3 linked regions of the Rhinolophus ferrumequinum genome follow. The protein of the gene in region 2 purifies or fractionates together with the protein of the main gene of each other region. This does not show direct contact. Links are inferred from orthologs where the notes say so. Each region holds a gene or a part of one and is shown on either strand. Other genes may lie near its edges.

Region 1 (10,327 bases), on a different chromosome or scaffold from region 2:
CAGAGGAAACTGAGCTTCAGAGAAGTGAAGTCACTTGCCCAAGGCCACAGAGATGATAAATGGCAGAGCTCCCAGACCAGGTCTATGCCACTAAGATGAGAGCTGAGATGCAGGTTGACAATCTGAACTGTTTGGAAAAGACACAAACTATCAAGTCCTGTGAAGGCGGATTTCAGAAATATAACAGAGCATTGGACCTGGGAGCGGGCCAGCTCTGCCTCTTGTGAGCTGCGCCTTTGAATCTGAGTCAAAGATTCCTCATCTGTAAAATAAAAATGCTAATTCCTGTCCTGTCTTCCTCAGAGAAAAAACATGAAAACGTGTAACAAAATATCTTAATATCTGCCAAGAACCCCAATAACAAGAAGAGCTACAAGTCGCACTTATCAGTAATTACAGTCTGTTAAATTCCCACAAGTCTACGAAGTAGGCACTATTATTCTTATTTTAAAAGCAAGAGAAACGGATACAGAGGGGTTGATTAAGTCAAATCAAGGCCGTGAAGCTTAAAAGTGGTAACATCAAAATACAAACCCAGGCAGGCAGTCTGGTCCGACTCTGTGCTCTGCACGACCCTCCTTTATCCCCAAATGGATGGGATTTTTATTCACATGGGACTCGAGGCAGCTGATGAAAAGTGAGGGCCCATCAGCATTCCCACCAAGTGAAAGCACGACCTACCTTCTGGATAATCTCGGGGGTCATTCCCACCAGCTCGCCCAAATCCATTGGCTCGCCTGCACCCTGAAGAGAAGAAAGGTGCAGGTGAGAGGCATGGAATGTCAAAAACCCTGGCAGGAGGAGAGCCCCAGGAGCCGGGGGCTGGGGGCGGAGGGGGAGCCGGGAGACGACACTCACCACCACACTTGGCTGTGAGCTTGGCACAGCCTGGGGCACGATGAGACCAGCCTGCGGCTTCAGGGTAGCCAGAGCTGAGAGAGAAGATAATGTTAGAAATGGGATACGATGAAGCAGGACCAGCCCCGAGTGGGGGGAGTGGGGAGAGGCTGCACCTTCTCGGGCAGCAGTGACTTCCTTGGTGAGACGGGCAATGACACGGCAGGCGGCGTCGTGCTGGTACAGCGCATGGGACAGCTCTTGGCGGGTGGTCTGCAGCTGCTGGCGCAGAGTGAAGCTGTGCAGCATGACTGCATCCTGGGAGGGGGGATACCACTCTGAGGGGGTGCACCCAGCAGAAGCGTCAGCCCTCGAGAAGAGGACACTGCCGCCAATGCTCACGGCCTAGAACAGTATCAGTGACCCCAGCACCATCTGAGTGGCCCAGAACCAGAGAGTGAGCGACTCCTGAGCTCCTAGCCCCTGCCCCAACACTGGGCACACGGACAGGAGTGGGAGCCAGCTCTTCCCCACCCCCAGCTCCACTAATTTACTGGCAAATCTCAGATGTCATGCCATCACCTCACCAAAAGGGAATAAAAACGCTGCTGCTATTTACTGACTGCCCTCACTGTGTCAGGCACTGCGCCAGGCAGTCCCTCAAGATATATTCATTCATTCCTATTTTAGAGCACCTACTGTGTGCCAGGTGTTGCTGTCGGTGCTGGGGATATACCAATGAATTAAACAAGTCCCTCATGTCATGCAACTTCTAATCTAATTTTATTCTAATTCTCCCAAAACCCCGAGAGACAGACACTAATCTGTGTTGTACAGTCAGGAAAACCAGGACTCGAATACGAGTGATTTGTCCAAGGGCACGCGGAGCTCAGTGTAGAACTCAGATCTGTGTGACTTCAACAACCAGTCTCCTACTCTGTGAGCATCCTGCCCCACAAAAGAGAAAATAATGCTCCATCCTTCCCACCCCCAAGTCCTAGTCCAGTGATCACTCTCTTCAAGTGGGGAGGATATTAGTTCTCTTCCAGAAACTCACCCACTCATCCTGTAAGGCCTTCAGAATGGCCGGGATGCTGGTGGCTGAAGGAGGCTTGGGCCGGATTGGGTGAGCAACTGCCGAGAGAGGAAAAGCAGGTATGAAGAACCAAAACCCAGGGGACCCTTGCTTTTCCTCTCCGCCACTCTTCTCCCTTTAGTCTGCATTGCCAGGGCACTAGCCCCTCCTCCCATGAGCTGGCACCACCTCCCCCGTCTCAGGCTCGGAGCTAAGATGACCCTGGACTGAGGCAGCCCCTAGGCACCTTTGATGTCGATGAGCTGCTCCTCAGACAGAGGCTGGTTGTTGATGGGGTCTGTGCCATTCTCTGCAATATACTTCTCAATGAGCCGCCGCTCGTAGACATGATTAGACACCGGGGACACACATGGGTGCTCTGGCACTTCATTGGAGACTGTGGAGAAAAGGCAGGCCGTGAGCTCAGGGGGTGAAAGGGAACTTGGGCCAAGGGGATGCCTCACCTGCTGCCGGCCCCAACAAGACCCCGGGTTCCCACACTGAACTAACAGGAATTAAGACATGACACCAAGCCAGTTTTGTACTGTCCCCAGCATGCTTTCCAGCTACCTATCTAGCTTCTCCTACACTCAACAAATAATTATTGCACAACTACTATGTGCCAGGCCCCTGGAGAGCAGTCAATCAGCGCTGCCCGTCTCATTTCTGAACAAAGATGCTTTGGAGACACACATTAAGCCACTCAAATCTCAGTCTAGAGCCTAGATAGACTGTCAGACTATGAAATGATAAAGCAATGTGACAAGTGCTATATGATACATTTCATTGTTTGCCATGCACGACTGTAAACACTCTCCATTGATTTCTCATCCTCACAGTCACCCCCAACAGAGGTATCATTTACACGCCTGCCTCAGTGGTCTGTGCAGCCCTCCAGGAGGAGACTGCAGCTGTCTCTGGCTTCCAGTACGATGCAGATCCCCAGCAGGCACTCGGTAAACACCTACCAGATGAGTGAATGAGAGGAAGGATGGTGCTGGATGGAAAAGAGCTTCCTCAAGACTGAAAGGAAACAGTGAATGTGAAAACACTCCACAAACTGTGATTTCTTCAATGTGAAGGGTTCCTTTTCCTAGCTGTCAGGGCCCTTCCTTCTCCCCCCATCCCCCTTTTTTTTCTTTTTGATTTATGGAGAGGCTCTGAGAGTAAAGGGCTTGAGAATTAGGAAGCAAATAGAGAAAGGGATGATGAAACAACAAGGATGGAAAACATCTGCAAGCCACGATAAAATACCAAAAGGAAAGATGATACAAGCATGAAAAAAAGGCATGGATTCCGGGTCAGAGAACCTGGCTCCATCACCCTGCTCGGCCACTTACTAGCTGTGCAGCTTTCGACAAGCCACACTCTCCCGGAGCCTAACATCCTCGTCTGAGAAAGCGGACCTTTATTTCAGCTTTGGAGAATTGGCGTGAGGATAAAATGAGCTCACAGGCTTGGAAGTGCGCTGTACACCAATAAAGGCGTTACAAATGTTCGCCTCCGAGGCTGAAAGCTAGAGACCTGGCTTCCAGCCCTGTCACTACCTCTAATTCACTGTGCCCTTCACAAGTTGCAGAAGCTCTGCCTACCCGAGCGGGACCCCCTACAAAACCCAGTACAATGCCCTCATTTTGCAGATGGGAAACTGAGGCCCAGGGCCCTGCACCAGATCGCAAAGCCAATCGGAGGCGGACCCTGCAGAAGCCCTCGGGTATCCTGATTCCTACACCAGAGCTGGTTCCCCTGCACCAGCTCCCTGTGTCCAGGCCTCAGTTTCCACTGCGTAAACGAGGTGGTTAAGCTCAGCAATGCCTGCGACAATAAACCTGAGGCGTTACGTAAACTGTGAAGCGCTGCGCAAATGCACCCCACGCTAAGGAGGAGGACCACCTCCGAGCTGACAGGCCGCTGCCCTGTCTCCCAGGAGCCCCGTTTTCACCTCCGCCCCTGCCCCGGCGCCTGAGAAGCCCGCAGATCCTCCCGCTCGGCTCTCCGGCCTCCTGTGACCCGCGATCGGCCGCAGCCAATACTCACTGGAGCAGATCAGGGACATGGCGCCGTCGCTGCGCTCCGAGGCGCCACACACCGGGCTCCGGGATTAGCTTCTGACCTGCCGCGGGCCACTTCCGGTTCCCCGCTGCTTCCGGGAAGCCCCGCGGCGAGCGGGGAGCTGCCCCAGTCGAGCGATGTTCCCTTAGCCCTTCACGTGGGACTGCGGCGGCTCGCGCGCCTCAGCCTCCTGCCCCTAACGGAAACTGCCCTTTCCCAGAATGCAGCCGGGCAGGAAAGGGCCCGCCACGGGACACTCGACTATTTCCGGAACGGCTCGGCTCCTTCCGTTAAGCGCCGCCGAGTGCGGGAGAAGGGAGGGGCCGCGGGAGGAGATCTGAAACTACATTTCCCATAATGCAGTGAGAATTTAGAGACTCTGCTAGGAGACCCGGTGAAGAAAGCGCCAACGCAGACGGGTTGAGAAACTAACACCGACCAAGAAACCGTTCTAGGCCTGTCCCTATTACCAATTTGCTCCGCGATCTCCCCTTTCCTACATGACTTCCACCTCCCTTCCAACTCAGATGGTGTAGGGTTCTTTGTGGATATCTATAAGGTACTCCCAGAAATCATGTACAGAACGTGGTGCGGACTATAAGGGATCCAGACCAACCAGCAGGACATCCAGGTATGGTCGGTGAAGTCTTCTTTGCTGAAGAGGTGTGAATGAGCTAGACTTTAACAGACGGGCAATATTCAGATAGAAGGGAAGAATCCTAAAAGGAGGAACAGCACAAGCAAAGGCTTGGAGAGAAGAATAAAAGTTGCAGGTGTGAAGGGTATTATGGCTTAGTGGCCAAGAGCATGGACTCTGACGTCAGATTGCGTGCTCTAATCCCAGCTCCACCCAGCTAGTAATGGGTGTGAACTTCTCTGCCTTAATTTCCTCATCTGTAAAATAGGGCAGTGATAACAAGTGTTGAACTAACAACCCATAGGGTTATTGCTAGGAGTTGATATTTAAAAAGTGCTTTGAACGAAGCCTGGCACATAGTAAGTAAAATATAAATATTCATGTTTGTTATCATTATCCCGAAAGCCAAGCCAAACTACTGTCATCTCTCCCCTGCATCAATAAAATAGCATCCTAATTGGTCTTGTTTTCAACCTGGCCTCCTCCTACTCCATTTTCCACGGAACAGCCAGTGATCTACTTTCAATGAAAAATCTGTTCCCACTACTCTCCAGGCTTTGCATTCATTCAACAAATATTGACTGGGTAACTCCTAGCTGATAACTGGAGATACAAATGGTGAATAAGAAAGACAAGGTTTCTTTGGAGCTTACACTTTATTGCGGGGAAGGGGGGAGCCATAGACATATAGACAATCAACACATAAAAAAAAAAAAAATTCCAAAGAGTGGTAAGTGCTAAGAATAAAACAAATCAGAGTAAAGTAGATAGGAGCTGCTGTGGATGGGAGGAATAGGCTACTTTTAAGCAGGGTATTCAGGGAGGGCATCTCTGAGGAGGTGACATTTTTGTTGAGACCCGAATGAGGAACAGTGTTTCTGGCAGAGGAAACTTGCCCCCAAGTCCTGCACCATTTAGCTCATGCCGACCACCATAGTCTCACCCCATCTTCTCTCCAGCCACACTGGTCTTTCAAGTCCTCAAACTTACTCTGGCTGGTTCCAGTATTTTCACCTGGAACACTTTCCTCAACTTCCTCCCTTCTCCTCCTCTCCCATCCCCTCCAAAATAAACTTCAACCTCACCTTAAGTGGTGTTTCCTCTGGAGCCTTTTTCTTGACCTCTCACTGAAGTTCAGTGCCCACAGTAGTCTGTAATATTCCTCTGAGCCACTTTGGATAACTATAATCAATTATTCACAAGGATCTGTTTGATGTCTGGGTTCTCCGCTAGACCATAAACTCCTTGATGGCAGGAACCATAGTTGTGCTCTCTGGTCACTGTTGTTTCTCAGAGTGTAACACAATGCCTGACAGATAGCAGAAACTTCATAACTGTTGTTGGTTGAATGACAGATTGCCTGACAGACCAGGCATCTTAAGTTCTTGGCTGTGGTAGGAAATAAAATGGATCTGTTTAGGTGGGGTCTTGAGCTAGAGGTGGTTAGACTTGATTGGGCTGGCAGAAGAACAGCCACTGAGCTATGGAATGATAACCACACTTCCAGAAGATTCCTCTGGAAGATATTACTGGATGGGTTGGAAGGGGACAGACTGGAAGGCAAGAGACCCAGTAATTCATTTTTTTGACAGATCTTAATGGAGGACCCACTGTATGCTAGTCCAGGCACTGAACTAGGCATTGGGGCTCCCACTATGAGCAAACCCAGAGGTATCCCTATATTGGGGAGCTTATGGCTGTGACAGAAGGATGGAGGAAAAGGGGAGTCCTTTCCAGCCTTTTGTGTTTCAAAAGCCAGCCCCTCAGGCGATAGAAAGGATTCAGGGCAACTGATTTTGGAGTAAATATTACAGGTAAGAACTTGATCTCAGATTCCTCCCTACTTCCCCCAATCTCAACCTTCCCACAGAGGAGATAAAAATTCCCTAGGCTAGGAAGGGAGACACAGGAAGAAAGGTATATATGCGTAGTTATTGATGGATCCCCAAGAAAGGGACTCTATGCCCTGCTTCCCAGGGCCAAGGCTGCTTGGAAAGCAAGAGAACACATTGGCCAATAACTCCAAAGAAGCTGCATTTCGTAGGTAGATTCTGTGGCAAACTGTGTGGACAAGTGACAGAGGAAAGAGTGAAGATCAGGGATATATAAAACTGAGGCATTTTAACCAAGCTGCTAAAATTATTAACATGAAGGTTGAGGCATGAGGAAAGACTCCATTCTTGTTCTAATTAGCAGGGGAACTTAAACTTTTTGAAATTTCCAGTCCTGCATCAATGCCTGGATATGCATCCAGACATATACCAGACCTCCAGATAATTTTGGTTACCTCTTGAAGGACTCACGTATCCAGACTACTGACAAGACCAGACCTCCTGGTGCCCATCTCCTGGACCACCTGGCATCCATCATCCAGACTGCCTGACTGATAACCACCTGGGACCAATCCTAGGGCTAAGAATGCAGGACTGATAATTCTCAAAAATGTTCGTTTAACTATATGAACTCTTAACTTTTCTTTCTTCTTTGGGACACACCTGGGTTTGTTTGTTTTTGTTTGTTTGTTTTTTGCCTAGCTGCGTTTCCAATTTGCAAACTCTAAAGCCCTTGAATTAATTTTTATAATTTACTTCTAGCAAAGTCTCCAGACTCTTTTCGAATTCATCTGACATGACAGAGGCTTGGGCAGGACAATGCAGCTCAAACAACAGACACTGAGGATTAGATGAATCCCCCCACCCACCCCACCCCCTCCCGCCACCACCCCCATGTTAATTTTCCAAAAGGTCTGTATAACCTGAAAAATCAAGGGTGGGAAGAACCCTGAACTGTCTGAGATTGTTTCCACCACTCATATAGAAAGAGTTGAAAAGAAATTAGCTAGTCATAGTGGGGGAAAGCTACATTTCTTGCACGGGAAAGTCTGTGACCTGAGATTGGTGGTAGTCCTACAAATCAGAAACAATCTCAAAAGCAAATGTAAAGTTCCAACTATTTCCAGGATGCTACCAGAGACGGCTGGGGAAGACAGAGAGACCCTTAGCAGAGGCAGGAAGTGATGAGTATCCAGACAGAGGAAGATGGATGAGAGATGTACTGTGAAACGTCTGAAGAAAAGAAACAACTGGGATTGATGACTGACTGGTTGCTACTGAGTGCGTGATCTGGGAAGAAGGCAGACTTAGAAGGCTGATTCAGGTAGAGGAGGGAAAAAGAGTTCCATTTTAGAGTGTTGAGTTTCAGGAACTGCTTTAACATCGGAGGGGAGCTTTCCAATGGCAGCCAATGTGATCACAACATTTGGACAGCAGCTTGGATGTTTTTTTTAAAATCTTCATTCTGTTACTTCAGTGAATCTCCACACCTACTGTGAAATGGTATTTTTAGGACCTTATAGTACTTTATAGTAATGCGGAAACGAATGAGGCTCAGAGACATGAAGCAACGTGCCTGGAATCACAAAGCCAGCAAGGGATCACCTCCTTTCAAATCCTTGGTCGCTCCTCCTCGCCATGCCGCCTTTTTTTTTTTTTTTTTTTTTTTTTGGTAGAGCTCAGGTCTGGGAGTTTGTTCCTTTCCTTGCATAAAATTAAATGAACATTTTGGGAGCCATCTCCAGAGTCCGGGTGTGAAATTGCTCTCAGAAGGTGCAGGTGCATTTCCCCACCATTGGGTGCCTCTAACTGCACGTCAAACACCTTTTCCCTTTGTGCCTTTTTAGCGCGCGAAAAGTTTCTCAAAAGACTAGGGGCTCTCGGGCGCCCCTTCCTTAGAACAATGCCTACGAGGCATCACGGGACTCGAGAACTACATTGCCCGAAATGCCCAGAGGCTGGAGAGGCTTCGACCCCAAATTCAAAGACCCAGTTTACCCACTCTACAGCCCAGATATAGTCACTTAGTTCCCCTTTCCCGCCAGAGACTTCCATCCCCTGCTCGAACTCCCGATCCCACTCGTCACCGTGTCGGAAAGAAAAAAACAAGCGAGAGTAAGGCGCATGCGTACACGGCACCGGGTTTGGGCCTGGAGGGAGCGGCCGGCACCGGAGCACATCCCGCCTTGCGCGTGCGCAGACGGAAAACCAGCACCCCGGAGTTAAGGCGCGGGTTTGGTGGCTCGTTTTAGCGAAGTCGCACGTGAAGGGTAGCAGTGGCCCGAGCCCGGTGAGTGTGAGCCGAGACCCGGGCTTTGGGGCAGACAGGGCTGGGGAGGCGGCAGCCACCACAGGCGGTGCCGGGGCGGAGCCGCGAGGCCAGGCGAGCACCACTGGGGAGGGGTCCGACGTCGCGCGAGCGGGAAGCCGACTGGGGACCCGGATCCTCGTTGCTATGCAACTGGGGGCATCGTTACTAGGTAACGGGAGACACGCGTTTCCCGGGAGCAGAGGGGTGCAAACGCTGCTCCCAGGTCCGGCCGAGGCGCGGCAGCCGCCAGGTTGGGGGACGAGGCAGGGGTGAGCACGCCGTCTCCGACCCCCACCCCACGGCGCAGCTTCCTGCGGCTTCGCTCCGAGCTCTTTGGGGTACCCCGAACCCATGCGCCGCCCCGGGTCCCTTGCCAGCGATGCCACCCAGCAGGGCTTGGCAGGGGACGCACTGTTCGAAATAGCGCATGCCGCTGACACCCTGTCTCCAGGAGGCTGGGCCTTCATGTGGGCGCCGTGAAGCTGGGAAACTGCCCCTTTGCCTGTCACCCTGCCCCCAAACAGTTGCTGGGCAGCAGCTGTCAAGGGTTTAGCGAGGGCTGCCCCTACCTGCCAGGACGCTGACTTCATCCCCCTCAGTGGCAGCTTCGCCCGTCTAGGAGCCTTCTTTCAATGCAGCTGTCTTTCTAGGGTGGCCGCTGCATATTTGGATGAACTTTAAAATAAGTCCCCTGTCCCCACCTCCCCATGGCTTCTTGGCGGCCTTCTAATATTCACTTAACAAGCACGTATTAGTCATCATTCTGTGCTAGGCGCTACGGATTCCAAGAAAAGTTAGTTGTCAAATCTGACCCGGAGGTGCTCAAAGTCTAATTGGGGAGGCAGGCATATAAACTGCTAAATTCTGCTACAATGTAATGAGTGGTATATTGGCCATTTGCAACACTTCTGTAAGTGTTTACAGTGTACCAGGTTCTTGCAGAAACATGTTAACTCCTTGGAGTAACTCTTAACCCCACTTAACCCCATTTTCCACTTGAGACTGAAACTCTGATTAAGTAATAGGCACGAGGTAGTGGCTTCTAGTTTGTGGCAGAACTGAGCCTGGGAGGAAAGTTGAGGGTCCTTTGTATACTGCTACACTTTCAGGGCTTTGCCTAGAGTAGGCTTTTCCCTGTGCTGCTGATTATAGTTATGCACCAGATAGTCCCAGGAGCTCTGAAAACAAAAGCCGGAGCTCTCTGGGAGAGTCTGGAAAGTTGGCCCTAGGTGGGCAGGCATCCCTGCTTTGACAGGCTCCACAGGCTGATCTGATGGGCTCTCAGAGTTGAGAACCACCGTTCCACAGGGGCAGCTCTGGACAATGATGGAGAAATCAGGGCCAGCAGAGGGCACTAAGTCAGCTGCCCCTCCTGCCATGTAGTGATTCATAATGTGAAAGGAAACGAACCAGAGCAAAGAGTCTTGGCAGGGGGTGTGTGGACCGCCCCATCCTGCACTCTTGGCAAACCACACCTAAACATGTAGTGCCTCCTCACTACTACAGTACATGAAGCAGTTTCTCCAGCCCAGCTGGGTTCTCCTGGCCCTGCTTGCGCCATACTACAGTTGCCTGAACAGCAG
Region 2 (10,781 bases):
CTTTACAGAACATCAAAAGCACTAGCAGCAACAACAACAACAAAAGATTAATCGGACTACACTTAAATTAGAAACTTCCCCATCAAGACACCTTGAGAGTCAAAAGACAAGCAAGAGTGGGAACAGATATTTGCAACACATACTTGTAACTGAAAAAGGTCTGATCTTGAATTAATTAAGAAGAAGACAATGAAAAAGGTTGATGAGATAATTTTCTGGATTTTCCAAACTTTCTATAAGAAACATGTAGGACCTTTACCTGTTTACCTCCTCCCTTCAAATACATTTTCTTGAGTGAGAAAGGTGAAAGGATTAGGAAGTACAAATTAGTAGTTAGAAAACAGCCATGGGGATATAAAGTACAGCATAGAGAATATAGTCAGTTATATTGTAATTAACTATGTATAGTACCAGGTGGGTATTCAACTTCTTAAATTATATAAATGTCTCACCACTATACTGTACACCTAAAATTAATATAAAATCATACTGAATGTCAACTGTAATTAAAAAACAATAGTCACAGGGATAGAACAGCATACGAAATATAGTCAATAATATTCTCATAACTATGTACAGTGTCAGATGGATACTAGACTTTTTGTGGGGATCATTACATAAATTATATAAATATCTAACCACTATGCTGTATACCTGAAGATAATATAAAATAACATTGAACGTCAACTGTAATTAAAAATATATATATATAGTCACAGGATGTAAAGTACAGCATAGGGAATATAACCAATAATACTCTAAAAACTATGTATAGTGTGAGATGGGTAATAGATTTATTGGGGTTATGTGCGAGGTATATAAATATCTAATCACTACGTTATTTTGTACACCTGAAATTAATTTTTAAAAATTGAAAAAAAAAACAAAAAAACCCCCAAAACTCCATTTCCCCCTGCTCAACTTACCAGCTCCACAAGACTGTTGTTGGTGAGAATGAGTTCTGTGAGACACGGCAGAGCCTGATCAAGGCCCTCACCTATGCGGCTAAAATAAAAACAGAAAGACGTAGTAAAAGGGACAATGAAGTAAGCTAACAATTTTATCTAGTCCTCGCTCAGAGGATTTCAGACTGCAAAGTCGGAACACCCTTAGAGACCTTTCTTCCAATACCCTGTGACAGAGGGGAAATGAGACACAAAGAAGAAACCCTGTCTGAGATCACAGCGGTGGTGAGAGTGGGATGATTTTAGAACCCACGCCTCTTGAAAGCTGCCTGGGGCTCTTTCCACTGCGCCACTGTCCAAAGAAACTAAGAAATGTGTAGAACAAATGGTGTAGCTCACTTCATGGTTTTCGGGCGGGCAGCACAGAAACACGAGTGATTCTGCACTCACAGCTCAGAGACAAGACACACACCACGGTTTACTGCTGAGAAATATGCCTATATCAGAAACCGCAACCCACCACCCAGAACTCCTTAAAGACATTTCCTATAGACCTTCAATAACTTTTCTCCAATAAAATTTACACAGAGATAAGAGGGTCAAAAAAAAAAATCTCAATTCCAGTAAGTAATATTTTAAAAATGTGTTGTAGTTAAAGAAAAAATGGCAGAGGATCTGAGGGAAAAGAATTACTTTCCACTAGCAGACACTTACCATATTCTATTGTTGTTCACTAACAATGTTTTCAGTCTTCTCAACAAGGGAAAACCATCCAGTTTCCTGATTTCATTGTCAGAAAAATCAATAGCATCAAACTGGTCTAAGGTCGCACCTAAATTTTCAATGACAGGAATCTTATACCCTGTAAAATGGAGGAAAAAACCCCACACAAGTATTAATATAATTAAAAGGCACCTTAAAACACGGGCAGTATCACATGGTCATTCGACTCAAAGCTTCCATTTGTTCAGAACGTGTTTACCTAGCACCTATGCCTCACCAAACACTGCAAGGTACTGGCACACAAAATAGGGAAAAAGTTACAAGTCCCGGCTGCCATGAAGCTTACCGTGTAGCAGTGGTCGTGAAGGTGCTGATGTCAAGGCCGATGACGACGAGGATACTTAGTGACATTAAGTGGTAGCTAACACTTGGAAGGGTATTTGCAAGGTGCCTCATACTGTTCTAAGCAAGGCCCCAGAGCTAGTTAAGTGGCGTAACAGGAATTTACAGTGAGCTGCTTATGGCCAGTGTCCAAACCTTTTTCATACACCGGGGACAACAGTTCTCTTTTGCCTTCCCACAGGTCAGCTTCATACAACCCATCAGGATAGCCTCACGACACCATGACAGTTTCCCCTTACTTCCCCTCCCCCGTCTCCAATCCAGGGTTGAAGGTCAATGACTTATACCCAATGGGAAATCACGCTACGAACAATTCAAGCGAATTCTCACTGACTTGTCTAACATGCGCTTAATTATTGTGCTAGATGCTAGAAGCGAAGAAATGAACCCAGCCAAGGTTAAAGGAAGGCCACCGTTCAGAGCTGCAAGGGCTACATCCAAGTTAAGTGCTGCCCCAATTATCCTCCACACCCCACATGCTTCACACTTGAAGACCACAGAGGTCAACCTGAGCCGGGAAGGTCAAAGTGGTCAGTTACTCTCCAGTTGAATCTTCCTCTGAGAAACTTAAGTGCATCAAAATAAAAGCACTGGGCAGAGCGTGCAGCACGGCAGCTTCCCAGACTCTACAGTCCCCGTGGGAGCAAATCTCAGGCCAAGATTGTACAATCTCATCCCTGCAGAAGCTGCTCTTCGGGTCCTTGTAAGGAAGATGTTGAAGAAAATTTGCCTTCATCGGCGGATGTGACTTTCTTGTTTCTTTTTATCAGGGAAGACGTGAAGAAGTGAAGAAAGTTTGCCTTCATTGTTTGATGTGAGCTTTTGTGTATTAGCTTTTACCTGTTCCAGTATGTTCCTGATTTCTGTGCTGTGATCAGGGTTGAGTCACTTCCCCCTTTGGTCTCATTCTCCCGAGCAGCGGAGACATGAGATGAGGTTGCTTTTCTGTCGTGCTGTGAGGTGATGGTTAGCTTAGAGTTAAAAGAATTCTTGATCAGGGGTTGAGAGAATTCCCTTTGTTCTGTTTCGCCTGTATCAGCAGAAGTGAAGAAGTAGCTAAGTTATATCAGGACGACGTGACAGGCACGTTGCCAGGTCTTGTTGCTTATCCAGATGAACTGGCCCTTCGGCCAGATGGGCAGCATTCGTATCAGTAACTGCCGGACCCTCCCGGAACCGGCCATTCCCGGAGGGGGCGGCAGGAACAAGAAACTTGGCTCTAAGGCACATCTGAGAAAATATTTAAGACAGACCTCAGCTGGCAGTGTAATCGTAATTAAAATTTCATCATTTGTCATTGGTGACTCTTCATCATTCTGACATTTTGAAGACTTCCAGCAACACAGCTTACAGCACCAGGGGCTGTCCTGACTTCCAGCCGTGGACCTGGTGAGGGCTGCCTGGTTCCCGGCCTCTCCGGTGTTGTTCCCCACCGTTCGCCTTCTTGAGAACTGTTAACATTTTAGAAGCTTGTATGCAGCTTGCAGCTTACAACATCAGAAGACGCCCTAACTTCCAGCAACAGCCACCACAACAGCAACAGCATTCCGGAGAACTTGTGAACAGTTTAGAAACGTGTATACAGCTTGCAGCTTGTAATGTCAAGGGACGCCCTAAGTTCCAGCAACGAAAAAACGGCAGCAAAATTCTTGGGAACTAGCAAGCGGCGGGGCGGGAGACGCCTGAGTTTCTCTCAGCTGCAGACCCGATGAAGTTTTGACTTATGACTTTTCCTACGGTTTGGTGAGCTTTTGGCATCTACTATCACAGTTACTATCCTAGAGGGCTTATTACTGCTTTTGGATTCTCCTTACTGACGTTATTTGTGCATTTAGCCAAGTGATTTTTGATCAATAGTAAACATGTGCTGGGATCTCTTAAACTTTTAAGTACGTGTACTCCTTTGACGTGACCTTGTTATCAATGTATATAGTTTAGTCTTAACCACCTTTACTTCTGTCACTAGCACGTTCTATTACTTGCCTTTTGCTATTGCCTATTACTAAATACATTGATTAGGTATTACTAAATCAGGTCATCGGGCCCACTCGAGCGTGTGTCCTCTCCCTTCTTTCCCCCGCTCGTCAGGACTGTCCTTCCTGGAATCATCTTCTGACACGCTGATTAAACAGCTGTACTCAGTGTCCTGCCCGGCCTCCCTAAGGTTGCAATAGCTCCGGGAACCCGATTAGTTCCGAGAGCTTGCACCACTTACACACGACACCCGGTCGAGCAAGCCTCGGGGAAACAGTTCACTCCATAAAACCTGCCGGTAAAAGGGAAATCGCAGACAACTGGAGCTCGTAAGGCGGAAACGTTTGGGCAGCAATCGCTTTTGTTCCCGGACTTCGTTTCCTCCCTCACCGACTGGAGACAATTCACACGCGTCCTACCGACACTCGCACGATGACCAGTACGGACTGAGAACCAAGCACTCAGTGCATTTCCCCGGCCCTCAAACACAGCGGACGGAGGAGGAGCCCGAGGAGGCCTCACGGAGGCCCGCGGACACGGACCAGGAAGCCACCGCGTCGGCCCTGGAGCGAGGACGGAACAGAAGCCTAGGCAGAGCCCAAGGGACGGTCATTCGGTGACGCCGGCAGGACTCAGGCCGCGGCGGTCCCGGCGCAGCCGCCCCCTTGGGGCCCGAGCTGCAGGCACGCGCGGCCCCAGCTCCAGCGCTCGGCACACGCGGCGCGGCCCGGAGGCGCGGCCCGGCGACGGCCCGCCCTCTCCGCGGACTCACCCCGAAGGTCAAGCTCGCGGTCCCGCACGGCGTTGGTGTACTGCGCCGCCTGCTCGATCAGCTCCGCCGTCAGCTTCACCATACTGCCGCCTCCCGCTCCCGGTGCGCGGCCCGCGGCTGCCTCCCGCCACACACAGGTCCCGGCCTGCCCCGCGCCCGCCGCCAGGCAGCACCAGTCGCACCGCCGCGTGCGCGCGCAGCTCGACGTCCAGGCCGAAGCAATCGAAGAGCCGCGTCCCCGATCTCCTTCTCCTTTGAGGCCCTGGAGCGCGCTGAGGACGCGTCTAGTCCTGCTTGCTTTCCTAGGGCGTCTCTGGAGTCTGGAGGACCCCTGATTCCAGACATTTGTGTCCGCAAGTTAAGCAACATGTGACGATACCCGAGTGGAACTTTTTCAGGCATCAGTGCACCTGGAGGTGAAGGTGGCGGGCACCCGTGGGATTCATGCAGGGTCCAGGACTTTGGATTCCCGTCTGGGTCCTGGGCTCTGGCCCCCGGGCTACAACCTGAACCCCGGGGCTGGATCACCTGCTCCCGGCCAGGCCGCTGGGACCGCCCGACCTCCCAGCACCTGGCACCTGGGCACGGTCGACTTTGTGGTTAGGCCTCCAGACAATTAAATGTTTATTTTAATGCATGATAATACATAAAGGTGGGCACATCAGAAGTGTGCAACGTGACGAATGATCGCAGAGTGAGCACGCCAGCGAAAACTGTCGGCCCTGGTGCAGACACGGAACACTACTTTGAAAGCGTCCCGTCTGAGAATGATAGTTTTATGTCTTCCTTTCCATTTTGTGTACTAGTTCTTTATTTTTTGCCCTGTGGCATTGTCTGGCATCTTAAGTACAAGGTTGGACAGTGGTGGTAGGGGACATCCTTTTAGCAGGCATCACTTCATAGCCAAGGGGGGAAAAACTTAATCATTGATCAAAGTCACTATCACCAATCATGAAACCAATCAAAATCCTGTATCACCTACTAGGATGCAACGAGAAGAACACATTACTTCTGGGAGATTACGGTTAAAGACATCTGACCAGAATTGAAATATGAGGAAACCTCAGACAAAGACACGGAGGGTCAGCATATAAATAACTGGCCTGTAGTCCTTAAAAGGTTCAAGGTCATGAAAGTCAGGGAAAGACTGAAGAAATGTTCTAGGTTGAAGAAGACTTGAGAGACAGGAGGATTACATGCAAAATGTGATCTAAACTGGATCCTTTTGCTAAGGGCATTCCTGGGACAAGTGGCAAAACTGGAATGCAGTCAGAGGACTAGACGGTAGGTAGTAATATATCCATGTGAATTTCCTGATTTTCTGATGATTATATAAGAGAAGGTCCTTGTTTATAGGAAATAGCCTCTAAAATATTTGGGGGTGGATGGGTAATAGGGTATCATATCGGTAATTTACTTTCAAATTGTTCAGGAAAACATTTCTTTGTACTGTACTTGCAACTTTTCTGTAATTTTGCATTGAGATTGTTTCAAAATAAAAAACGCTACAATCCCAACTTCACTTAATCCCACAGAGGACCACCAGGGGGAGTCCTTAGACCAAAGAGTTGGTTTTGGCCCTTGGCTTGCTGGATTGAAAAGAGTTTCTTTCTTTACTTTAAAATAGGAAATTTGTATGGGTTTTTGTTGCTTCGGCATATGGACAGGGAGATAAACTAGAGGCAGTTATATTAACCTTAGGTTATCTCTATGAAGTTGAGAACAGATTTTCTGTTTTGATTTCATTTCTTTTGGCTAGAGAGTCTCAACCTCAGCACAGGTGACATTTTTAGGCTGGATTATTCTTTGTTGTGGGGCTGTCCTGGGCATTCCATCATGTTTAGAAGCATCCCAGGCCTCAGCCCACTAAATGTCAGTATTTTTCTCCAGTTGTGACCCCCAAATACCTCCAGACATTGCCAGATGTCCCCAGGGACACAAAAATCACCCCCGGTTGAGAACCACTGTTTTTGGCAACGAGATGTTTTCTGCTCTGGGCACTTGGACTCCTATTTGCTCAACAAGGAGCCTAGTAGGTATCGATCACCCTTAGTGTAGCTGGTACATATTGGGGTGGGGGGCAGCTTCGGGTGATGGGAACTGAACCCCAGGGCATGAGATGGGTGCTCAGCATTGCATCACCTCGGGGTGCTGTTCTGTGCACAGACAAGCCACAGAGCCTGAGGTGTCAGGAAGGATAAGGCCTGGGTTCAAGGAAGAAAAGCAGCAGGGAAGTCCGGAGCGGGATGCAGTCTCCTCCTTTCCCATGGCAGCCAGCACCCAGTCGCTTCCAACTGGCTGGGCAGAACCTTAAGATGCTGCAGAATGGCTGGTATACTACTTTTTGTTCTTATTAAAATGCCGTTCTTTTGTACTTCTCCATCTCCTTGCCTTTCCGTCGTCTGACGCAAACCTCCACCCTTCACCTGCTCCCAGGGGCCCCAGCATACCCCAAGCATTCAGGTTAAGTTCCCTGTGGCCATATTATCAGTGATTTAAATGCAGTGAGTGACCGTCCCCCCATATTCAAGAGCACTGCACTGTTGGCCTCACTTTGACCATGGTGCCCTTTGGTTTTTCTCAACCTCTGTCCAGCCCGCTTCCCATTACAGCTGTGTCTTCTGTAAAAGGTGCAATTCTCCCCAGCTCTTTACATAATTACCAGGTATAAAGTCCGCCGTGGCCTGGGAGGGATGGGGATATGCACCCGGGGACCACTTTGAGGTGCCAAAGAATTTGGCGGACAGGGTAAGGAAAATGTCACCCCCTGGAAATAAAGCTAGTTTAAAACAAATGCATCATGCCTGCCTTTGGTCAGCTGCACAAGTGATGCCCCCTCTTGCGGAGAGAGCCAGCCTCCCTCCCTGGGCACATGGATGGGAGCAACCTTGCCAGTGTGTGGCCCAAGGCAAGTCACTTTACGTCTGTGAGCCTCCGTCTGTGAAATGACAGATTTACAGGGGAAGAGCCATGATTCTGTCACATAAAATAAAATCCATGAACATGTCCTGCGCCAACTGAGTCTAGATGAAGTTAAGGTTGGGCCATTTGCAAAAAAAGGCATTTTATGTCGTCGGTCCTTTTAAACAAGGTGGCATTTGGTCCTAAGAACTTTGTGAACAGGTTCCCAGCTGCCCACGGCACTCGTCAGCCCCAGGACAGGCTGGGCCAGCCACTGCGATGAGGGTATGTGTGTTCCAAGGCTGTCTGGTTGGCTGCCTGTAGTGGGAATGCTTTGGGAATAAAAGTTTATGTCTGATTCAGTTCTAAACATGTTAGACCATAAGCGCTCAGTGGGCAAAGAGCTCTAGGGGCTCCAACGGCTCCCCTCCCCCACCAGAGATACTTAGCTGCTGGTTTTAACCTCAGGTGAGTCTCCTGGGGGAGGTTGAATCCGTATCAGTCATCAGCCCAGCCCTGGCTGCTGTCTCGCAAATACACCCACTCATTTCCCCACTGGCCCCTCACACGGACAGGTCTGGTCAATTCACGCTCGTGCTGGGTAGTGTTGGGTTGTGGGCCTTACCCCCATTTTCTGACAGCATCATGCTACACCCCTCCCGCTAGGTGGTCACAGGAAGAACTGCCTGGAGCTTCGTTCTGTTGCACAAACCTGTCCCTGTGGCCACAGCTGATGGGACCGGTGAACGCCGATGAAGGCAGACCAACCAGGGCCAAGAAGCAGACTCAGAAAGCTCACCTGGGAGATGGTGGTGGCCTTGTCATTTGTCCCATTCACTGCTCCAAAGCAAAGGGGTCCAGGTGACATTTAATGCTGGTCTTAGGGTTCCCAAGGCCCAGCAGCACCCTTCCCTGAAATTCTGAGTCAACCCTGGGATCCTAAAACAATGCCCCTCACCCACTTTTGTATTTTCCTAAGTCAATTCTAGTTGGTGAATTTCCTTTATTTGCAGCCGAAGGGTTCCTAGCAAAACAAGCTTCTGATCTTGCAGAGAGGACACGGTCAAAATCGCATGCAGCATGGAACCCATGGTGCAAGTGTTTCAGTTTCTGTGCGGAAAGAAGCTGTAACCTAATTAAATCAGGCTTGGCAGCCATAGGTGAAGGGGCTTGCAGTCTGGGACAGAAAGGAAGCATCCCTATAACCAGCCTCTCCACCCAAGCGGGCGTCTGTGGCCTGAAGAGGGGCTGTTTGCCAAAGGACACCCTGGGGCTGGAACTCTGGGATTTCTCCCATGACTTGGTCCCATCAACATTCTCTGAAGCTAAAGACCTTCCACGTAATGACATCAAACCGTTCTGGAAACCACAAATACCACCATTTCCCCCACTGGTCAGCACCTGTGTTTAACTGTCGTGCCTTAGAAAGAAATACAGGCTCCTTTGCTGTGGGATGTTAACTCTTTTATTAATTTAAGGTTAACACTGTATCTGCTCTGTGGATTTCTTTTTTTCCGGAGTTGTGGATTCACCAAACACCCGCTGGATTTTGTCCCCCAGCCCCCCAGGGATAAGTCAGATGCATTACAGTCAAAGAGCGGGGCAGGGCAAGATGGAGAAGGACTGAGCTGGAAAAAATTTAAGGCAAATGTTACCCCTTATTGCAGGGACTCGATCAAGCAGATCTGTGCATTTCAATGAAAATATATGAACTCTTTGTCAGAATAACATTGGTACAAATCAGAACATTTAGCTTATAAAAGGCCTACACAGGTTTGGCAGAAAGAGGTCCAACCGTGTCGTTGGGCTCAACCGTCCCGCGTTGCAGAGGCCAGGTGTGTTTTAAAAGCAATTCCGCGAAACGGGAAGTGACAGATGATTAACAATTCACGGGCTGGGGTGACACGTGTTAACAGGAACTGCTTGGTTGTTGGGGTCTTTTTTGGCTGGCCCCCGGGGACACCTTCAGAAGGCTGTGCAGCGGGTAGAGGGGGTCACTCGGGCCACAGGACTCCTACAGACACAGACAGAAGGCAGTAACAGGGAGCACTCGGCTCACGCAGAGGACAGTCCTCCAGAGAAGGAAAGGCTCTCCCCATCCGGGGCTGGAATCTGACTTTCGAAGCCTGCGATTTCAGAAGTCGCTGGCTGTGTAGGAATAGAGGCTCCGTCCCCAGTGGTCGCACGTTTTATGTCCCCAGGTCTACCTTATCTATAGTCTGACCAAACCATGCCCCCCACCAGCCTGCTCTGCGGCAGGCAATGAGCAGGTGTGCCGTGTGGCCCTTCGTCACGCGTGGGGACAGCCAGGTTCTGTGGGCTGGACCCAGTGGCTGAGACTGACTACGGAGCTGCGGGAAGCTGGGAGAAGAGCGATGTGTGAGGCCAAGCGTCTTGACTGTCTGCTTTGGTCTGGAAGCTTCAGTAAACTTGTGGTCCCAGAGGCTGCTCAGAAGCTGGAGCTGTGGATTCCCAGAATGCACTGGGTTCCCGGGTGGAATTTGCCAGAAGAGTGCAGCCAGCCAGTGCGTCTGGGAGGAGCTGCTCCTGAAGGCCCACCGCCTGATCTGGGTGCCCCGAGATGCTGCCGAAGGGCCTGGCTCCTGGGGGGTAAAGCTGTCAGGCAGGGTACCACCCCGAAACGGGCTCTGGCCCACGGTCTGGAGACAGGTGGACAGACGGCCGGACGGCCCGCAGGGGCCGGAGCCCCTACCCGGCCAGGAGGCACGTACGGCAGCAGAACTGGATGAAGAGCTTCCGTTCACACAGCCTGTTGGACTTGACCATCTCGCAGAACGTTTCGTCAGCTGGGGCCCCACCAGGAGAGAGAGCAGGGATATGTCAGACTTTGAGGCGTGTTTCATGGTTCTAACCATCCCACTGTACTGGGCCGGGGGAGGGGACACGGAGTGGGGGTGGCAGCCAGGGCAGCCCTCACAGTCACCCTGCTGACATACAGGGACTCCTGCTGAGCCTGGGAGATAAAGGGGGTTCAGGAAGTCTGGGCGTGCAAAGCGCAGGTCAGGAGGACATCGGGGCAGTGCCAGCGGGGTCTCGGTGCTCATGTGCACCTCCTTGCAGACAGCTGTGCAGGGGGTGGGCCT
Region 3 (10,279 bases), on a different chromosome or scaffold from region 2:
TTGGAGGAGGTCCGGGATGAGGCATTCCAGGGGGCGGTCTGGGTGGTGGCTGCCCCCCAGATCCCGGCGGCCCAGCATGGGGGTGTGCTAAGCCATGAGGGCCGTGGTGGGCCAGCTGCATCTGAGACATCCCTATGAAAACAAGACGGACACATCAGAGACAGGAGACAAGGGCAAAAACGTGGGGAAAAAAAGAAAACAAAATGGAGAGAAGTGACGAGTAGGGAAAACGAGGCTGCTAAAAATGTCCTTCTCCTGGACCCCATTCCAACTGTACAAACCAACCAACTACCCAGTCAGTTTCTCGCCCTCTTTACCTGCTTCTCCCACGATTCAGGCACCGGAAGAGCCGCAGATGTATGTAACAAACAGAACGGTCTGTCAATAGGATTTGGGAAGGTAGCAGAGATACTATCTGAGCAAAGATCTATGTCGAAAGGATAAGACTCTTTCAGGTAGAGAGTGGGACTAGAACATCTTAGGCAGAAAAGACTAGAATGTGCAACTCACTGATGTGTCAAGTGGCAGTCTGTCCCAGGAAAACCAGCCGCTTAGTAATCATGGGCACCAGGCAGTCACAGGAGTAACGGACAGGGGCCAGGAAAGGCCTAGAATGCTATGGTCACGAGGCTGGTTTTACTCTTGCCACAGAAGAATTTGAGCAAGAGTGTGTATGTAGATTTCTGTGTTTGACAAAAATTACTCTGTGAAGTGGATCAAAGGTAATGAAAATTGGAGTCAAAGTATGAGGTAGGAAATTCTTACAATAAATTAGGTGTGAGGGCAGCCCGATGGTTCAGTTGGTTAGAGCACGAGCGCTGAACAACAGGGTTGCCGGTTCGATTCCCACATGGGCCAGTGAGCTGCACCCTCCACAACTAGATTGAAGACAACGAGCTGCCGCTGAGCTTCCGGCGGGGCGGCCGGATGGCTCAGTTGGTTAGAGCAGAGCTCTCAACAACAAGGTTGCCAGTGCAATTCCCACGTGGGATGGGGGGCTGCACCCCCTGCAACTAAAGATTGAAAACGGCGACTGGACTTGGAGTGAGCTGCACCCTCCACAATACACTGAAGGATGACGGATGACTAGGAGCTGATAGGCCCTGGAGAAACACACTGTTCCTCAATATTCCCCAATAAAATGTATTAAAAATTAAGTGTGAATTAATGAGGGTGTGAGGGCCTGAACTAGGGCACTGGCAGTGAGGGCCGACGCCAGAAATATTAATAAGACTTGGTATCAAGAGTGGGATGACAGGGAATAGTCAAACACAGCCCCATATTTCTGAACTAAGCACTCGAAAACAAAGAATACTAGAGGAAGGCTAGGGTTGAAGGGGAGGGTGGAAAGTGGAGCTGTCGATTTCAACAGCAGGATTAAGAGTCTGGAATGTGAACAACCATGGAACAGAGATACAGATCTCGGAGGCATCAAAGTACAAGTAATGGAACTATGCAGAAAGGAGAACAAAACACAAAATCCTAGGTACACGCAGAGAAAAGGGAGCCTACTGAGGTGCCTAAAATTAAGGAGACAGATAAGAAGTGGATCCAGAAAAGCGAAAGAGATAAGATTTTCAAACAGGAACACATAGCCAGTTTCAAGTAAGACCATAGGTCAAACCTGATAAGGAGTGGAAGTGTCCCCTAGATTTAGCAATTAGGTAACTGCCGTGAGATGGAAGCCAGAGGAAAGAATGGAAGTAAAAGTTAAGGAAACAAAAAACAACAAGGATAGTTGTAAACTTTGGAAAAACAAGTAAGAAATAGAGACAAGGTGGTAGTTTTTAAAGAGAGTAAAGTATCTTGTGTTTGTTTTTATAAAAAAATGTCTTGTTTTTATAAAAAAATGTCTGAAAGACATTCTAGAACTATTATTGTTGAGAGACAAAGGACAGCAGCATAAGTGGTGACAGCTCCTCTTCCCAGCTCATCCCTTCCTTTTCCAGCAAAGAGTACTCACCTGGATGGGGTATCCCACCTGGTGGGAATGGGTGAGGGTGTGAGTGTCCGTGTCCAGGATGTCCAGCCCCTGGAGTTCCTGCTGCTGGGGGCCCATGTCCTCCAGCCCCAGGAGGCATCGGTGGTGGGGGCATGGCTGGGGGTATCCCAGGTGGAAGGGCTCCAGGAGGTGGCACTGGGGGTGGGAAGGAGCCAGGAGGAGGCATGCCTATGGAAGAAACAGAAGAACAGTTAATGAGAGTGAATGTCTTTCGAGAACCTGTTCCAATCTGGCCTCTCCAGGCAGGACGAGCTCCTCTCAGCTCTCCAAACTCAGAGGCAATGTCAGCCAACACAGAAAACTTCCGCCTCCTGGAGAAACTCAGCAACTTTCCTCCCCACCACAACCACTAGCCTTCAATCCCCTTCTCATCGCCTACCGACTCAATGTCCCTCTTTATCCGTTCTTTTCCTTCTTTCTGCCCCACCCCCAAACCCAAGACAAACATATTGTGAATCAAACGCTTTACCTGGTGGAGGAAGCCCAGACCCCAGTGATGATACCACAGGGTTGGGGGCAGAGGGTGGAGGGGGTGCATCTGCAAACAGCTGATGAGGGCGGTCGGCCTGGGAGAGTGGGTTTTGGGCTGCCAGAAGTCGTTCAGCTGCTGAGCCATGGCGCTCACCCTTGGAGTCCTTCTTGAAGGCATAGGACACCGTGATGGGGCGGTTACAGAGGTACTGCCCATTCATGGCCTCAATGGCCGCATCCGAAGCATCAAACGAAGCAAAATTAATAAAGGCATAACCTTTGGAGTTGCCTGTGTCAGGGTCCCGCATTATCTTGGGGGTTTGTAAGATGACCCCAAAGGCGCTGAAAGTATCATAAAGCAGCTTCTCATCGATCTCTGGGTCCAGGTTCCCAATGAAAATGTTGGCCCCCACATCCAGGTTTTTGTTGTGGGCTGATGCCTTGTTCACCCGGATTGGCTTCCCATAGAGTTTGATCATGTTCATGATCTTAATGGCATAGTCAGCATCTTCCTCACTCAAGAATTCCACGAAGCCGTAGCCTGGGAAAGTGGAAGACAGGAGGTTCACAACCGAAGTGACGTGCTTAAAAAAGGGCGTAACTCATCCATCTTTGAAAGCACAAAGAACAAAAAATAATAACCTCACTTCAATTAAGAATGGCTCCAGAAACAAACGAGAGCTAGGTCGGCTTAAGAGAAAGAAATGCTTAGTTACGTTGCTTATTCCAAGACAGCTGTGAATACTGCTGGGGTCCTCAGGAGCCGTCTGTCCTCAATAAATAAACGGACCTATTGGCCTGTACTCACCTTGGTGCTGACCAGTGACTCTATCCTTTGGCATGTGGGTGTTGACTACTGGTCCTGCCTGGAGAAACAGCTCCCACAGCAGCGGTTCGCTAACCTTCTCATCCAGGCCGCCCACGTACACAGTGGCATCTGGATGGTGCGAGCAGCAAGTTAGGGCAGAGATGCGTATGCCGTGCAAGGAGATGACGGGAACGTGAAGATGAAACCCAGGTGGGAGAATTGGTGGAGACGGTACAGGAGCAAAAAGGGAAAAAAAAAGAGAGAGTTTTAGATTAAGCCCCTACACCTCCCTCTTTCCAAGAACTAGGGAATCTTCTGAAGTCAAATTTTGAGTCCTGCTGCAAATTCTCCTTTTGATTTTCTTTTTGAGTGGGAAAGCACGCGATTCGACATACTAGAAAGCAGCACACCTACAGGCCGTAGCCGGCACCGGGCCACCCCGCCCCCAACAAGCAAAGTGGCTAGTCCCGCGGCCTCCTGGGTGGCGCAGTCTCCCGCCCGGGCGGAAACACTGCTGGCCCTACTCGGGACCCCCCAGACCGCCCCCCTGTCCCGTCCAGTCACCCTGGTTCCGCTCGGAGATCGGGCCGGCCGCCATGATGGAAGAGCTCCCGCCGTCTCCAAGCAGCGATCCCGCCCTCCGACCTCAGTCACTACTTCCACTTCCGGGGGCAAAAGCCGACGTGAGGCTGTGGGCGGGGCCGCGGCGTGGGGCGGGGCCGGAAGCGGTGGCGGCCATCTTAGGAGCCGCTAAGACTGGATGCGGCCCCGGGGACGGGCTGTTGTGCGCCTTGGTCTTTCTCCGAGTCTTCCGCTTGAGTTCTCAGGGCGAGGACGGCGGAACGGAAGCGCTCAGACCTCTTTCAAAGCAGTGCAAGACGTTGCAGGATCATACCGCTCCCGAAACGTCAACTTGAAAACTAAAAGAACAAAACTTTGTGTTTCATATATTTTTGTGCCAAATGATCGTCACTTGTTCCCCGGAGACGGGTGTGCTGAGGACTCACTCGGCTGCCTTAGGCGTGGAGGCAGCGCTCCACTCCCGCCCGCAGCCCCAGCCTAGGCTTGAAGTAGTAGTTCGTTTTCCCCGAAGGGAGGGGATTGCAGTTTATGTTGGAGCCGGAGTGATGCCTGAGGTGGCCTCGTGGTTAGGGTGGGGGGTGGGGGTGAGGGGAAGCTGAGGCTCTAAGTGACCAAAGCTGAGGCGTGGTTGACACTGAACCCAGAGGCTTCAACCTCTAGGACACACCCGGCCTCAGCAACCACGGCTCGGTGTGCGTTTGCCCCACGTCTGCCACTAAATGGGAGGCTTGGAGAAGAACCTTTTCCCCAAATTGCATGTGAATTCTGCAGAGCCTCACCTGACCCAACCCCTTATTTCCTTAATAATACGGTGGGTGCCATCTCTCTCCAGTCATACCCAGCCTCTCTGTACCCACCCCCGTCTTGCCTAGGCTCCTTTATTCAGACACGAAACAATGCCAGCAACATGTATAAATACTGCGCTTTAATGAATCCCTTAAATAGAAATGTCACTACAAAAATATACAATTGGAAAAGACAGGGTGTCTCCCATATCCACTCCATACCCACAGGAAGCTGTAAGGGAAGAAATAGAAATTGGAATTCAGGAAGCAGCAAGAAGAGGGGAGAATGAGGTCGGTAGGCCAACTTGTTGGGACCAAGGAACAGCATATCTCTGCTCTCACAAAGCTGGATATCCAAAAGGGATGGAATTGCCCTGAAAAAACAGGTGATCATATTCTGGATTGTTTTTGTTTCTAAATTCTTCAAATCACAAGACGCGATATACCGGGGGTGCCAAAAAAAATACACAAATGGGACACTTTGGTCAACGTTGCTCAAGCAGTAGTTTGCTGTACTCAGAAATGTCTGGACCATGATAGTAACCACTTTGAGTACCTCTTGTCATTGCAGAAGTCAAACACGACTTGTATTCATCTTTTGTTATCGGTATATATTGAGTATTACAATTTTAATAGTTCTTTCCTTTCTTAAAACGTGTATACATTTTTTTTGGCACCCTCTGTATATAATCCTGAGGAACCAAACATGATAGACCACCCATCTGTGATGGAAACAAGTCAGCAAGCTTGTTTAAGAGTTGGAGTGTGAAAGCTGAGGCAGCAAGACCAGATATAAAACAATCAAAGGATTAGACTGAACCCTCAGACCACCTTCTTCCCGGCCCATGAGAAAGCAATTTCAACGGGCTTGGGAGAGAATGGTACTTGGATGTCTTTTCTTGGAGTGATCCTCAGGAGATATTCTTGGTGTCCATTTCCTTAATAGCTCCTGAAGATGGGATAGCTCATCCTGGAGGCCAGAGATTGTGGGAGCTGAGAGGCCCGTCTGGGAAGGGGTGCAGACAAGCAGAGAGGAACGTTATTGAAGCTCCAGCTCTCTGCTTCTAAAATCTGTCTGCCACTTCTGGTGTCTTAATTCTCTTTCCCCCTCTAACTGTGCCCTAAGTTCCACCTGATCTGAGCCACAAGCACCTTCCCCCACCCACACTCCCAAACCTATCCACTTGGATACCAACGGGAATGGTATTTCACTTCCCAATCCCCCCAGCCCTTTGCTGTTCCAGATCCTGGAAACATCTGGTTCAGCAGTCAAACCCTTCACCTCCCAGGCCCTGTCTTCCTTCCTCACCTGGACCTCAGGCCTTCCCCTCAGGTAGCAGCGTCTCCAGAACCTGATCTGAGGTCCCAGATATCCAGGTAGCAGCAGCCCCGAGGGTAAAGGGCAAGCTCCCCAGTACGAGGGGAGCCCCCACTCCTGATCAGCCAGACTTTCAGAGGAGATAGCAGGTCGGGGGAGCCAACGAGAAGAGACTGCCAACATGGAGGGACTGTCGCGCCAAGGACAGAGTTGATTCATGGGGGTCAAGGCCCCTCTAGAGAAGAGCCACACAGAACTGGGGGGTCCAGTAACCATGAAGCTTGGCTAAAAGGAAAAGGGAAATCAACTGGAAGCCTAGGAACCAGATGACCCGTTTCCCCAAACAGTCAAGAGCTAGAATGTCCAGCTGCCTCCCACTCACACTGCACTGGCCTCTCGCTGAGAGCTTTTATCTTTCCTTCTCATTAGGTTTCAGCCTAGGCCTCAGGACTGATTAAAATTGATTTTAGGGAAATTTATAAAACGTGTGCAAGGGACAGAAGATGAGAACAAAAAGGATGCCCTCTGCTATTCTAGGATTTCTGTCTTCCTGGGGACAGTCAGGGACTGTGACAGCTATAGAAGAGGAGTGGGGAAGCTTTCCCTGGGGGACTCAGATACTGTCTCTTTCCACTTCTCCACATCAAGTAGGATGAGCCTGTGAGAAATTCAAGGGAGTTGAGGAAGTTTAGACACCTCACCTGCTGTCTAGGGAGCCAGGAATCTGGGCAGTATTCCGGGTCATAGCCAGGATTACGGAATTGTAGTATCTGTTCATGGCTGTATCGTAAATCCCAGTCCCAGACAGACAGCTGTGGGTTAATGGAGTCCCCAGCTGGGGGCTGGGAATACCCTGGGGTATAGACTTGTGTATAGGAGTTGAACTGGACAAAGGAAACAAGAAAAGGGATGGTTAAACAAAATATACATACATACATACATACATACATACATATACACATGTAATCCTCCTCCCAGGTCTAGAGAGAAGTTCTCAGACTCTCGTCTCTTACTCCAGGAATCAGACGTAGGGTGAAAGTCAAATGCTGAGAGTGAGCACCAACCTCCACCCTTTCCCACCCATGGACCTAACTTTTAATAAATCAAGACTAAACTTCAGAAATTACTTCTCAGTGTGTATGTGTGGCGGTGGGGGAGACAAGTAAAAACTGGAAGTCACTGACCTGTCCACTCTGCTTTCCACGTTCCCAGGGAGTGTCTCTCAAGAATGTAAGGGTGTCAGGAACCCTGACACTGTCATGAAGAGCAAGAAGGAAAAACTCAGAGAATTCAAACTCAGCTGGAAACTGCTGGAGGAGCTGCCAGACACAGTCCAGGAAGAGGAGAAACACGGGGGCCTGAGAAGAGGGAAATTAAGAGGATGGGATTGTGGTGACCTAAAGGGGGAGGATGACAAAATGATGGGGGACACGGAACAAGGGCCCCGAAGGAGATCAGAAAATGGAATCTGAATTGAGCATGTCATAGATGTGGTCCCTCACGCATCTGGGTCTCCCTTCAAGCTCAGTCTACCCTCAGGACCCTTCAGACCTTATTCACCTCCAATGGAGTATACTTTTCTGATCCCCTTACTTCTTTAGTAATACTGAATGCTGGCCCCCACCCAAAACCTTCCCAAGATGTTCTCACCTTTTCGCTCGCCCCAGTTCCCCCAAGTCGGGTCAGGAAGGGATGTCCAGCTGCCACCCACTCTCGCTGCACTAGTGATTGGAAGCCAAGCAGTGTTCGGGCTTCAGGGGCTGAAAGCAGCTGGACGAGTGAAGAGAGGAGGCCATTGAAATCACGATCACCGCGCTCTGGGTGATGAAGAGGGAGAAGGGACAAAGGAGGGGCCGAGAAACTAGGGCAGAAGAGAATGAGAAAAGGAAACAAAGCAAGAAGTGAGAGGCCAGAGGAGAAAGTTTGGGGTAGGTAGGATTGAGAGGGCACATAGAAGTGAAGAGAAAACAAAGACCTTGAATGATTCACTTTGTAGACGCCACCGGATAGAAATAACCAGCCTCACATGTAGGAGGCAGATTCTAAATCTCAAACCTACTTCCACATTCCTTCCCACACCAACCCCCATGCCATTCCACTGATGGAAGGATGGTAACTGAGGACGGAAACCCTGGTTAGGGACCACGGGCTGTAATGGGGAGACAGAGGTAGCACTGGAGGGTGAGTTAGAGTTCATGGTAGTTCCTAGCAAAGGGAGAGGCGGAGCTGTAATTAGAGACAATAGGTCTCCCTCCCTGAGCAGGATCCAGTCAGGTGGGTGAAGGACACAGTCAAGTAATGGAGTGAGGTGATCCAAGAAACTCACCTTGAAGTACTACAGAGCGAACCCTGGATGTCACTAAGACTGAGATGTCACTGGCCTTCCGAAGACAAGCCCTGGAGGGGCAGGTGAGGAAGAGGACGGAAGAATGATAAGCTTTGAGGAGAGTAATAGAGGCAGAGCCCAAAATCCTGCCCCTTGTAAGGGGCAGCATCACAGCGGTCTTCTCGGGAGACCAGGAGACTTCAGAGGCCATTAGGCGTCCACGTTAACAGAAGGTTGGGGAGGGTTGAATCATAAATCATGGCTAGAAAAAGAGGAAGTACCTGATGTAGTCCAACCACCGTGTCCCTTCCAGGGCTGAGAGCCACTTATCCTCAGCTACGGATGAATCTGATAGAGGGTAGAGAGGTCAGAAGGGCAGAGATCAGGAAAACGTGGGATTCGGGATTCAGGCTCTATAGCCTGAAGGGTTAAGAATAAGTTGAGTCGTGGTTGCCTAGGGCTGGGGACAGGAATGAGGAGTAACGACAATGGCCGTGAGGTTTCCAAGTTCAATTGTGGTGATATTTGTACAACATTGTAAATATAATAAAATTCATTGAGTTGAACACCTAAGATAGGTGACGTATGAATTTTATGGTATGTAAATTATATCTCAATAAAGCAGTTTCAAAACAAGAATATATGTTGGGGTCCGGAAAAACAGGAAATCAGTCTGTGGGATATGGGGGATTTGAGGAGAAAGCGAAGGATCAGGGGGCCGAAGGATTACTTGTCTGTCGCAGGCAAAATGGTAAACCAGGTTAGGGTCAGCAGACCTAGGGGTGGGGTAAGGGGTCAAAGGTTACTCTCACCAGGCAGGCAGAGGGCCCTCAGCCTCAAGTGGGCAAGGCGAACATCTGCAAGACTAGGCAGCTCGTCCATGGTGTCCACCAGGGCGACGTCGGAATGCCCCGCCTGGAGCAGGGACTCCACTGCTCTGCAGGGGAGGGAGTCAGCAAGTAAGGGAAGGAGTCTGCCCTGAACATCCGAGCTTTGATTCTTCTCATCAAACCTCCCTCACCTGACGTCCTCCTTGTTAGGGTCACTGGCTGTATAGAAGCCACCACAGCGGAGAAGATCACTGCCCCCAGGGTGATGCCAGGACAGGCGCTTCAAATGAGTCAGAGGAGGATCACTATGGGAGAAACTCCTAGCCCCACCCTCCCCTTGCCCCCACACTCACCTCCCAGGGGGCCCCTCTCTCCACAATGACCCCTGACCTCCCATAGCCCTCGAATCCCCAACCATTACCCTGACCCTCACACTGACCGGTCCACGGCCCTGATGGAAGTGGCCAAATGCTCTCCGGACCTCACTGTCCAGAGTTCGGTTGGGGACCCAGAAGTAACGGGGGAGGCTGTGAAATTGAGAATTATGTCACATCTTGACTCAGTGACCTCTCTATAATGCAAAGCTGTGATTACAAGGAAGCCACTTAGGAGGGGATCATTCCAAGAGATACCAGGTGTAGAGATCTAGGAGGTACGGGGCATAGCTTCGTGGAGGTCCTAGGAGGCCGGCGTACGTGGGAAGCGTCGTTTTAGAGGATCAGAGAACTGTGGGAAGACCGGGAGGGCTGCAGGGGTTGGGGTGGCCTGGGGGAATCACCTGGTGGCCACGTCGAACCTCTCATTGACGAGGCTGACCCTCCAGGCACTGGCCCCCTGCTTTTTCCTCTCAGTCTCCCAGTCTTCTGATGTCTCCAAGAGGGGAATAGGCGGTTTTCTGGAGCCAGAAGTCTGGCCTAGGGCAGGAGTGAGGAGGAGGAGGAAGCAGAGACAGCGGCTCAGCTCTTCTGTCTTCAGCCAGCCTGTGTGTTCCGACTCGTTACCCCATCCTTACCCCAAAGCACCCACACTCACCAGCCTTGCTCAGGATTATCCCTGTGTACTGCTGGGCTCGACTGCTCTGAGCTCTGGCCTGGACAATGGCCGTGGTCACCTGTGGAGGAAAGGACAGGCCATCCTTTTGGCTCAGACTGAAGTGA

What was found. Proteins that work in one complex are often made in the same cells at the same time.
Region 1: the proteins of SNRPA1 (region 2) and PRPF19 fractionate together in Homo sapiens (co-fractionation; 3 studies listed by BioGRID). This does not show direct contact. The link is inferred for Rhinolophus ferrumequinum from reciprocal best matches to the Homo sapiens genes SNRPA1 and PRPF19.
Region 3: the proteins of SNRPA1 (region 2) and SF3B4 purify together in Homo sapiens (affinity purification with mass spectrometry; 3 studies listed by BioGRID and IntAct, counting the BioPlex papers as one, with this or other methods). This does not show direct contact. The link is inferred for Rhinolophus ferrumequinum from reciprocal best matches to the Homo sapiens genes SNRPA1 and SF3B4.

Annotation. Positions count from the first base shown.
Region 1 is NC_046294.1:9,869,468-9,879,794, reverse strand, and holds the start of PRPF19 (pre-mRNA-processing factor 19), read right to left. Parts: upstream 4,194-10,327; 5' UTR 3,969-4,193; coding exon 3,950-3,968; intron 2,310-3,949; coding exon 2,160-2,309; intron 1,972-2,159; coding exon 1,895-1,971; intron 1,156-1,894; coding exon 1,014-1,155; intron 933-1,013; coding exon 859-932; intron 745-858; coding exon 682-744; intron 1-681. UniProt on the Homo sapiens protein: Ubiquitin-protein ligase which is a core component of several complexes mainly involved pre-mRNA splicing and DNA repair. Required for pre-mRNA splicing as component of the spliceosome.
Region 2 is NC_046311.1:12,856,136-12,866,916, forward strand, and holds the start of SNRPA1 (U2 small nuclear ribonucleoprotein A'), read right to left. Parts: upstream 4,956-10,781; 5' UTR 4,859-4,955; coding exon 4,777-4,858; intron 1,768-4,776; coding exon 1,620-1,767; intron 1,006-1,619; coding exon 927-1,005; intron 1-926. Other genes in the region: PCSK6 (proprotein convertase subtilisin/kexin type 6), read right to left, coding at 10,387-10,484. UniProt on the Homo sapiens protein: Involved in pre-mRNA splicing as component of the spliceosome. Associated with sn-RNP U2, where it contributes to the binding of stem loop IV of U2 snRNA.
Region 3 is NC_046305.1:50,391,651-50,401,929, forward strand, and holds the start of SF3B4 (splicing factor 3B subunit 4), read right to left. Parts: upstream 4,194-10,279; 5' UTR 3,880-4,193; coding exon 3,846-3,879; intron 3,411-3,845; coding exon 3,282-3,410; intron 3,015-3,281; coding exon 2,472-3,014; intron 2,171-2,471; coding exon 1,964-2,170; intron 133-1,963; coding exon 1-132. Other genes in the region: MTMR11 (myotubularin-related protein 11), read right to left, coding at 5,508-5,654, 5,958-6,251, 6,668-6,850, 7,151-7,324, 7,617-7,783, 8,293-8,363, 8,574-8,640, 9,105-9,229 and 4 more. UniProt on the Homo sapiens protein: Component of the 17S U2 SnRNP complex of the spliceosome, a large ribonucleoprotein complex that removes introns from transcribed pre-mRNAs.